2 linked regions of the Arabidopsis thaliana genome follow. The protein of the gene in region 2 interacts with the protein of the main gene of each other region in a pairwise test. Each region holds a gene or a part of one and is shown on either strand. Other genes may lie near its edges.

Region 1 (5,159 bases), on a different chromosome or scaffold from region 2:
CAGAAAAAAGAATTGGTACTATATAGATCAATTTGAATTTTTTAATAATCTTAAATATCTTTCAACAAAAATAATGTTATTTACAATGCGTAATTTGAAAGAAAGAATTGGAAAACGTTATAGGGAGTTTCAGGCAATGAAACCAAATAGACAAAAAAAAAGAATCTTCAGTTACCAGTTTCCACGAGCTCGTTGCCATCATATTCATAGGTCAATCTCAGTTTGATATATGCTATCAAAGTTTAAAGGTAATATCACTGCTAGGTTTGGTCGGGAGTTTTTGACTCTGTACTCAATTATTCATCCATGCACTGATGCACATCAGTACTTGTATTATTTCTAACTTTTTTTTTTTGGGAAATTGTAATACCGTCACTAGATGAGTGATAGTTTTAAGTTATATTAAACGATCAGTTTTCGAAAATGTGAAATTACTTTCTCACAAAATTTGTTGCAAAGAAGAGCTGAAGAGGTACCGCAATCATTGGAAAGAAAAAAATGGTAAGGATAAACTGGAATATCGATTGATGAGTGATGACTATTCTTGTTTCTTGCATAAAGCGTTAACACTATTTTTCTCAAATAAAGATTCAATGAAATGTAAAATAAGAAACCATTTTTAAATAATTTTGTTCTTTTTTTTGTTTTTACATCTTTAGGCCCCAAATAACAATTTCAACAAAGAAACATTAAAAAAGAAGAAAGAAGAAACAATGAAAGCTAAGTCTCTGAAGCTAAAGACAGAGCAGCTTTCTTTTAGGAAGTAAGGCATTTTTGACAATTATTCTTATTTCATCCCAAGAATTATTCACTTTCTCTTTTCTCATAAATCTTTATTGCCCAAAGAAAACTTCATTCTTGATCATCATCATACGGACTTCTGTTGCATCTCAGCAGCACCCATATTGACAGCTTCATCAGGAATAAACTTTCCCCAGAACCAATGTGCCTTCCACACTCTGTTCATCTCTTCGATTGGCACATTCTTTGTCTCAGGCAACATCAAGTAGATGAATATTGTCATTATGACAACAAAGAAGGCGAAGAAGAAGAATAGTCCGAATTTCATGTGACAAAGCATAGTGAGGAAGAGCTGAGCCACAAGGAATGTGAAGAACATGTTGACCGAAACGTTTATGGCTTGAGCTGCTGATCGGATCTCTAGTGGAGATATCTCACTAGGAACCAACCATCCCAACGGTCCCCATGACCAGGCGAAACCCGCTACATAGATGCAGATCAGTGCCACGATTAGATTGGCATCACTTTTCCCTATGTTTCCTGTTCCAGCCACTCCAAATTTGACTCCAATCATGGCTCCAATAGCGATCTGTAATACACACCGATATTTTGAGATATTGAGTGCCAATTAAGAAACGTATAGTAGGGTTAGGGTTAGGCGTTTGTGTTACCTGAGAGACAAGCATCTGGATACCTCCTTGGAGGAACAAGATTCTTCTTCCAAACCTATCCACTGTAAAAACAGAGACGAAGGTACACAAGAGCTCGATGATACCCGTTACCATAGCTGATAGGAGGGAAGCTTTGCTACCGAACCCGAGGGTTTGGAACAAAACCGGGGCGTAGAAGGTAATGACATTGATTCCGGTAAGTTGTTGAAAGAAAGGAATGAAGCAAGTCATGATCAATTGTGGTCTGTAACGAGGAAGCATGATGTTCTTCCATGGGTGTTTCACTTGCTTGGACTCCTCACTTGCATCAATGAGATCTTGAAACTCTTCATCGACTTCATTGGTTCCTCGGATGGACTGAAGCATTTCCTTGGCCTCTTCGGTGTAGCCACGTTCGATGAGAGAGTTGGGAGTGTCGGGAAGGATCAGAGCTCCGATCATGATCATCACTGCAGGGACACAAGCTAATCCGAGAGAGATTCTCCATCCGATGTTTCCTTTCATCTGTGCGGTGAAGTAATTGATGATCGTTGCAACCACAATACCAAAGATAATCGCTACTTGAAACCCGTTGTTGAAAGCTCCTCTTAGATTCGGAGGAGCCATTTCTGATAAATAAACCGGTACAGACTGAAACACAAAACAAAACCAGTTAACTAAGCCACCAGTGTTACTTCTTCATCAAGGAAAAAGACAGTTTTTAGAGCTTACTTGATTGGCGAATCCGACTCCGAAACCAAGTAGGATACGACCAATGAGAAGCATAGCGATGTTTTGGGCAAAGCCGTTGAAAGCAGAACCGATGAAGAAGGTGAAACCACCGAGAAACATCGACCATTTCCTTCCGAAAACTCTAGTAATGGTGGAGGCAAAGAGAGAAGACACCAAAGCCGCCACATAGAGAGACGAAGTGAAGAGAGTGAGAAGCTGACTATCAAATCGACAGTACTCGTTCTCATGTGCGCTCTTCATCTTCTTGTAGACGTAAGGGAAGAACTCTTCCAAGAATGGCTCCATTGAGGTTACCCCTCCTACAAGAATATAGAAACCCTAATTAGTCACCGGAAATTCCTAGATCAGATCAAAGAAGAACAAGACTTGAAGAAAAGAAAAAAACCTGAGATCCCGAGATCGTATCCGAAGATGAGACCACCAAAAGCACCGATGAAACATGTCACAAACACTTTCGGTGTCAGTTTGTAATTGTAGTTCCGAACACCCGGCGTTTGACTGACGAACCCTCCGGCCATTTCTTTGATTTGCTAAAAAACAAATGAAAGATTTGTTGACTTCTGTCTGTTTCAGACAAACAGAGCAGATCTTTTTTCTCTCAGGTAATTAGTAGATCTGGTTCTCGAATTCAGACAGAGAAATCAAATGTAAGAAGAAGAAAAAGAAGAAGAAGAAGAAGAAGAAGACAAGATTTGATATTGAAAATGAAGAAGAGTTTAGTTGAAATTTATAGGATTCGACAAAACCTCAAAAAAAGGAGAAATTAACTGTCGGCTGACTTCTGAAGTTTAGAAGAAAAGAACAGCTGTTGTTCTGGTTCTTCCACTTGCCTATTCCTCTAGATCGTTATCTTCTTCCCTTAATCTCGTGTCTTTTTTTAGTTTTCAGACCAAATAATTATTGTCTTTTTTGCTTAAAACGTAGAAAATTAGTATTTATGACGAGGAATCATTTAATTACTCTTTGGATAGTTTACCAAATTAACCAGATTATTGGACTGAAAATTAATTAATTAATACACTAATGAGTCGCATTTTGTAAGATGATAACTCTTTACTTTGCACTAGAACTACAATTTTGACTCAATTAAAGCTATTTTTGGTTTTATCTAGTCACTTTCGACAAGTGACAGTTATTTTAATTTGATGCTGTGGTACTTAAATGAGTAAACCACCCGCAAAACTCGGTCAATGGACAGCAAAGACCGCTACTAGTTTAATTTTAGTCTTGTAGATAAGATCTTTGATCTGATATTTTAAATTAGGTGTAAAATCTGTTTTTCAATTTTCAAACTTTTAAAAGTAGTATAGTTTAGTTATTACTTTTCCGTCTTTTGACACTAAAAAAAGTGGTATGAAATCTTCAATATCTATCCAAAATTTGAGGTCATATTGATACCTTAATAACCTTTTTACCCGTGAGCCTTTTCATTCACATGCATGGATCTATAATGAATGTAATGTTTTAACATTATCCATGGAATGGGGACAAAATTTAGTTTTTGATAAAAACTAGATTTCTTGATTTTATTAAGAGAGCATATTGTACGTCAAATTGACTATAAGATAACATTTCTGTGTCAGAGGATATTTCAAACAATGATAGTAAACAGTTGGGCTATTGATTACGATGGAAAGAAAAGTTGACTCACTACTTTTCTATATGTATAATTAATTATTTCGTAAACTATACGTAGCTCCATACTTTCATTCGTAGTCTTCCGTTGCTTTCTACTCCTTTCGTTTACATTGGAAAGTCAAAACTCGCGTTACATTATTTTCATGATGTTCCCATAAGGTTTCGTCATTATAGTGTCATATCGTTATCTTAACGACGTTATTCATGTAAGGCTATATTAATAACTACGTTATGCATTGCATACAAGGATATGTTTTATTCCCTATATAAATTGGTGTGATATATTATATATATAATCTTATGTTTGCTACATACAGTAATTAATGTGATTTGAATTAGTCACATTTTTGTTAGACTCATCAGATCTTGTCTCAGCACTGCATTCTCATTAGGATCAGCAACTTGACACTGAATTAATTAACCATCTTTTATGTTTGATATATTGCAGTACTAATTAATTAGTTAGTGCTAATTGTTTACATGCCGATGGAAATTGTAATGTTAATGCAAAATTTGTATAGCTAAAAGGCCTAGCTAGAACAAAACAATTAGGTGAATGTGTTTGAATCTGAGAATCTGAGAAATGCGTTATTTTGATGTAGTGATCTTCTGTAGTTTGATTGCTCTCGTTCCCTTTTTATAAATGTGAACCTTTGTCTTGTTAATTTCATGAAATTATTCAGACGAATGAAAAAGAACAAGACAATTAGGTGTTTCGTCGATCACATGCGTAAAGCCAACTTGACTTTTAGATATTTGTTTGTTTGTATTGCAGATTTTTAAATTATACGTTCACTGAAAACAAAATTCAGAGAAAACAAAAGTAAGAATAAAATGAAACAGGACAACAAAACTCAAAACATAAAGAGGAAGAACAAATTGAAAAACACAAGACAACCAAAAACTCGTACAGTGTACCATTACCATATGTAAGGTTTTGATAATAAATTAATAATTAGAAACCTTAGCCGAAAAAATACAATTAAGAAATAATGGGCATTGGTGCTATTTTCGAGACAGCAAACTCGTTTTTTTTTTTGACGCAAATGTGTATTTAAAATGGCAACAGAAAACTCGAAATCAATTAAGCGACCGACTAATAAATGTTATCATCTCGAAAAAAAGACATGTCATCCAAGATCACGTATGGCATATACAGCCTAAAACATATGATCCGCCGCATGGTATTCGACATAATTATTCATTATAACCATCATGTGTTAGTTATATCATATTCACCGGAAACTATATGCAATCGGTTGCTCTATGCTTTGCCACTAACTAGACCCAACTCAAAACATAATTTACCATATCTATATAAACCTGGATAATGTACTCACCATAATAGATCAAATTCTTACCAATATTTATCGGAGA
Region 2 (4,196 bases):
GATTTGTTTAGCAAAAAATAAATAAATAAGTTAACTGATATATTACACCTGCTACAGCTTTCGGTGGTCTATGAATCGTTGCACTGGCTGTCTTGCCTGCTTTAAGCGGAGCTATTTGGTCCGACACTGGATTCCTTCTTGCAACCTTAGAAAAGGAAAAAAGAAAGCGAGCTAGGTTTATTCGGTTTTTAGTTTAGTTTCATCTAACCATCTAGCTATATTGGTAAAGAGTTTCTATAAACTTTAATCCCAGGGTCTTACACAAATCTTATAACATTTTCAGTTAAACTGAAGCATCAAACATCTTGTGCTTTGTTTTTCCTTTTTGTAATCCATTATACTTTTTCTACTCAACCTCTGAATTATTATTGTTAAGCAAAAACAATTCATTGAGTCAAAAAATAAATTTTCCTTACGATCTACAAGACATCAAATTCACCACAATGAATAAAAAAATCAAATAGTCCAGATAAATAAAGAGTTTTTGGAAATTTTAATCCTTGGTTCTTACACGGACCTTATTACATTTTTGGTTCAATTGAAATATTTAAGACAAACATATGATCTTCTTACAGATCTACAACACAACATAGTTCATAGTAGTAAAAGTACCGAAAGACAACAGAGTTCACAGTATGTTCGTCAACGTGAATCAGAGAAGGATAACTTGGCATGAGCTAGAGCGTCTTGGAATGGTAAGGATTTCACATTCTGCTTTCTTTCTAGAATTATCATGCAAATGTATAGTGAGTTTCTTGAGGATTGGTGAGTTCTCAAGTAAGTAACTCACAAGTTTCATCTCAAAGACCTCCCCTGTCAATGGGGTTTCTATCTCAACATACTCGAGAGATGATAAGAGACATCGATGTCCTGATATGATACTAGTTCTCTCCATTCTATATCTATTAGATCCCTGAAATTACAACCAAGTGAAAGAAACAAGTTGGAGTAATTATGATACTTTCCCCATTTGCATTATTATACCAAAGAAAGTACATAAGTTTTAAGTAAACAATCCTTACCACGACAAGAGATTTTAGATTCGGGCAGCTCTCAAGAAAGAATGGCAACATTTCCCATCTGTCCTCATAGAACTCAACACTCAAGAGACATAGGTTACGAAATAAGGGCAGTGGTTCACATCTTGAGTAATCATAAATGACCTACAACAACAACAAAAACAAGAAAAAGATCAGGATAAAGTTAACATTAAAATAGCGAATTCAATAAACGTTACCTCAAGTGTACATGCAGCGATGGCCATATTTTTAACACCAGAGATCCCGACAAGAAAATTACGAATCATTTCTCTCTTTGGTAGATTCTTCGGATCAAACTTCTCTCCAAAACAAAAGTTAAACTCAATATTGATATGTGCCCCTACAAGAGAACTCCGATTCTTTATTATGAAACTTGCAGTCATACGGTGAGAGAGCGTTAGATCTTGAAGCTTGGGAGTATCAATTTCAACTATTAGTTCCTCATATTCAGGACCCATGGTATTGGGGCCATTATAGTTGAAGCTCAATAGAGACTGAGATCTCACACGTAACACTTTTACATTGTCATTGTTACTTCTGCATAACGTTAAGCTTTTGAGAACTAGGCAGCCTGAGATAAGCATTTCCAAAGCCAAATCATTTGCAAACTTAACCCAATCTAGAACTATAACTTTCACAGACGGTAAACAAACAAACTCAGGAATTGGTAAGATTACACCACAAAGCTTTAAAGATACCAAACTCTTACACACGTAAACTATTGGAGGTATTTCCAATGCACCCCACTCAAGATCGAGATGCTGAACTTTCCGTTTGACAACATCGTTGATCCACCGCGCCATTTGAGCATTACCAGTCTCCTCATCCCCAACAAGATCGCAATCGAATCCTAACTTAAACTTATTTAAGTACGACTCAGTGTTGGTACTCAGAAACCTATCCACAAAACTCACAAAAGTATTGTATTCGGTGAAATCACTACAATCCAAATCCAAACCAGGAACATACCTCCACAGATATCTCCATTTCGTGGATAAGACACAATTTTTAATCACATCTTTTGTCGAAAGATTCAAGAGAACATGACAAATCAAAGATTCTGGCAAATCTCTTACCCAATCAACTTCATAACCAGATTTTTTGTCCGAAGATTCTGGAGAACATAATCGTTTGGTACGAACACGTTTCTCTCCGTCTTCGTCCATGTAACTTCAAAATTGCGAAGAAAGCGGCATAGAGTTGGTGAAAATGAAACGATAACTGTTAAACAAACGACGTTAACTTTTAAAAATATCTCAGTTTGTGGTCAAATATTAAAGATGGATTTTAATGGGAAATTAGTATATTTAACTTTTTTACTAAACATAAACATTTTTGTAAAACCTGCTTTAGTTTATATATTGAATAAACTTCCAACAAATCCCGACCAAAAGAAAAATTAGGGAATATGCAAATAACCTAAGACTAAAAAAGAATTAAGAAAATAACATCTGACTAAACAATGTCTGCTTGCTACATGACTTTTGTCAATTTTTGGCCCATATGACTCATTTTCTCTTCGTTCTCTTTTTTTTTTTTTTAAATATCTGCATTATTTATTGAATAACCGGAGAACAAATGTAATTTATATTTATATATACATTTTTGCAGCCACTTTATGAAATAAATCCTGGAGTTTGGATTTATTTACAGTGGCTGCCACTGGCATTTAATAATTGTTTTTGATACTTATAAAGAAAATCTTTGAATTAAATATTTGACAATCTTCCCAAAATCTCTCCACATTAACTACACGATTAGTTACTAAAATAAAACTTTCGAAATATTTAATATCATTTAATTACTACAAAATTATCATTTTTGATATTGTTTTTCTACATGACTATAATAATTCGATTATAATCATCAAACCGCAGATTATAATCATCAAACCGCAGAGATATTTGATAGCATTTAATTACTACAAAATTAAAAAATATTTAGACAATGATTCATAAACATATCATAAATAAAATCAGTGAGTTTTTTTTACGGGACGAATTGGCGGGACGGGTTTGACAGGACGTTACTTAATAACAATCGTAAACTATAAAATAAAAATATTTTATAGATAAATATAATTTACAAACTTTTATATATAGTAACTTTAAAAAATAAATTGTCTCCGCGGTATACCGCGGGTTAAATTCTAGTCATACTGAAAACATAAACACTAAATTACTAAAGTTTATATAATTTACATATTTACTAAAAACAAACCAAACTAAATATATACGACGTGTGTTGTTAAAGTAATAGAGTGACCTCAATTATCTAAAAGTTTTATAGAATTATCGAAAGTTTCTCAAACTAATATTTCTATAAAAAATCAAAACCTTTTCGTAATATTTATTCAAAACAATTTCTAGTTACTTGAAATACCAGAATATAAATATGGTCCTTTACCAATTCGGAATATTTCTACAAATCCGAATTATCATACTTGCCCGTTAACATGCAGATTACTAAACCTGTTATAGTTTAGTTTTTCATCTGATCATCCTTGGGTATCAGCGCTGTAATGGTAAAGAGTTTCTAGAAACTTTAATCCTTGTGTATTATACCATTTTTGGTTAAACTGAATCATCTTGTGCTATTTTACACAGATCTTATACCATTATATATTTTTCTACTCAACGTCTGAATTATTGTTGAGCAAAACTATGTCTTTTAGTCAAAAGAAGTAACATTACACATTTAGGCCAAACATGTATAAGATCAATAAGGCATCAAATTCACCACAATGAATAAAAAAACAATAGTTTGATAAAGAGTTGCTAAAAACTTTAATCCTTGGCTCTTACACGAACCTTATTACATCTTTCATCTTTGGTTCAATTGAAAGATTTAAGCAAAACATATGGTCTACGATCTATATATATAACACAACATAGTTCACATTAATGAAAGTACAGAAACAGAACCTCGAATGTCCGTCAAGGAGGATCAGAGGACGACAACTTGGCATGAGCTAGAGCGTCTTGGAATGGTAAGCAGTTCTCTGAGGATGACAGATTCCTTTCTGGAACAACCATAGGGATGTCAAATAGGTTGTTCATGTCCAAAGGGGCAATGTCCAAATGGTCAGCCCCATATTTTTGGACATTGTTGATATAAGCCCAAATAGGACTAGACCCAAATTAGACCAAACCCAAA

The links.
Region 1: the proteins of AT1G66300 (region 2) and STP4 interact in a protein complementation assay, tested with the Arabidopsis thaliana proteins (one large-scale study listed by BioGRID).

The regions. Positions count from the first base shown.
Region 1 is NC_003074.8:6,932,551-6,937,709, reverse strand, and holds STP4 (sugar transporter 4), read right to left. Parts: upstream 3,143-5,159; 5' UTR 2,663-3,142; coding exon 2,530-2,662; intron 2,444-2,529; coding exon 2,124-2,443; intron 2,043-2,123; coding exon 1,413-2,042; intron 1,331-1,412; coding exon 869-1,330; 3' UTR 513-868; downstream 1-512. UniProt on the Arabidopsis thaliana protein: Mediates an active uptake of hexoses, probably by sugar/hydrogen symport. Can transport glucose, methylglucose, galactose, xylose and mannose, but not fructose.
Region 2 is NC_003070.9:24,715,845-24,720,040, forward strand, and holds AT1G66300 (F-box/RNI-like/FBD-like domains-containing protein), read right to left. Parts: upstream 2,207-4,196; coding exon 1,238-2,206; intron 1,164-1,237; coding exon 1,023-1,163; intron 914-1,022; coding exon 653-913; 3' UTR 521-652; downstream 1-520.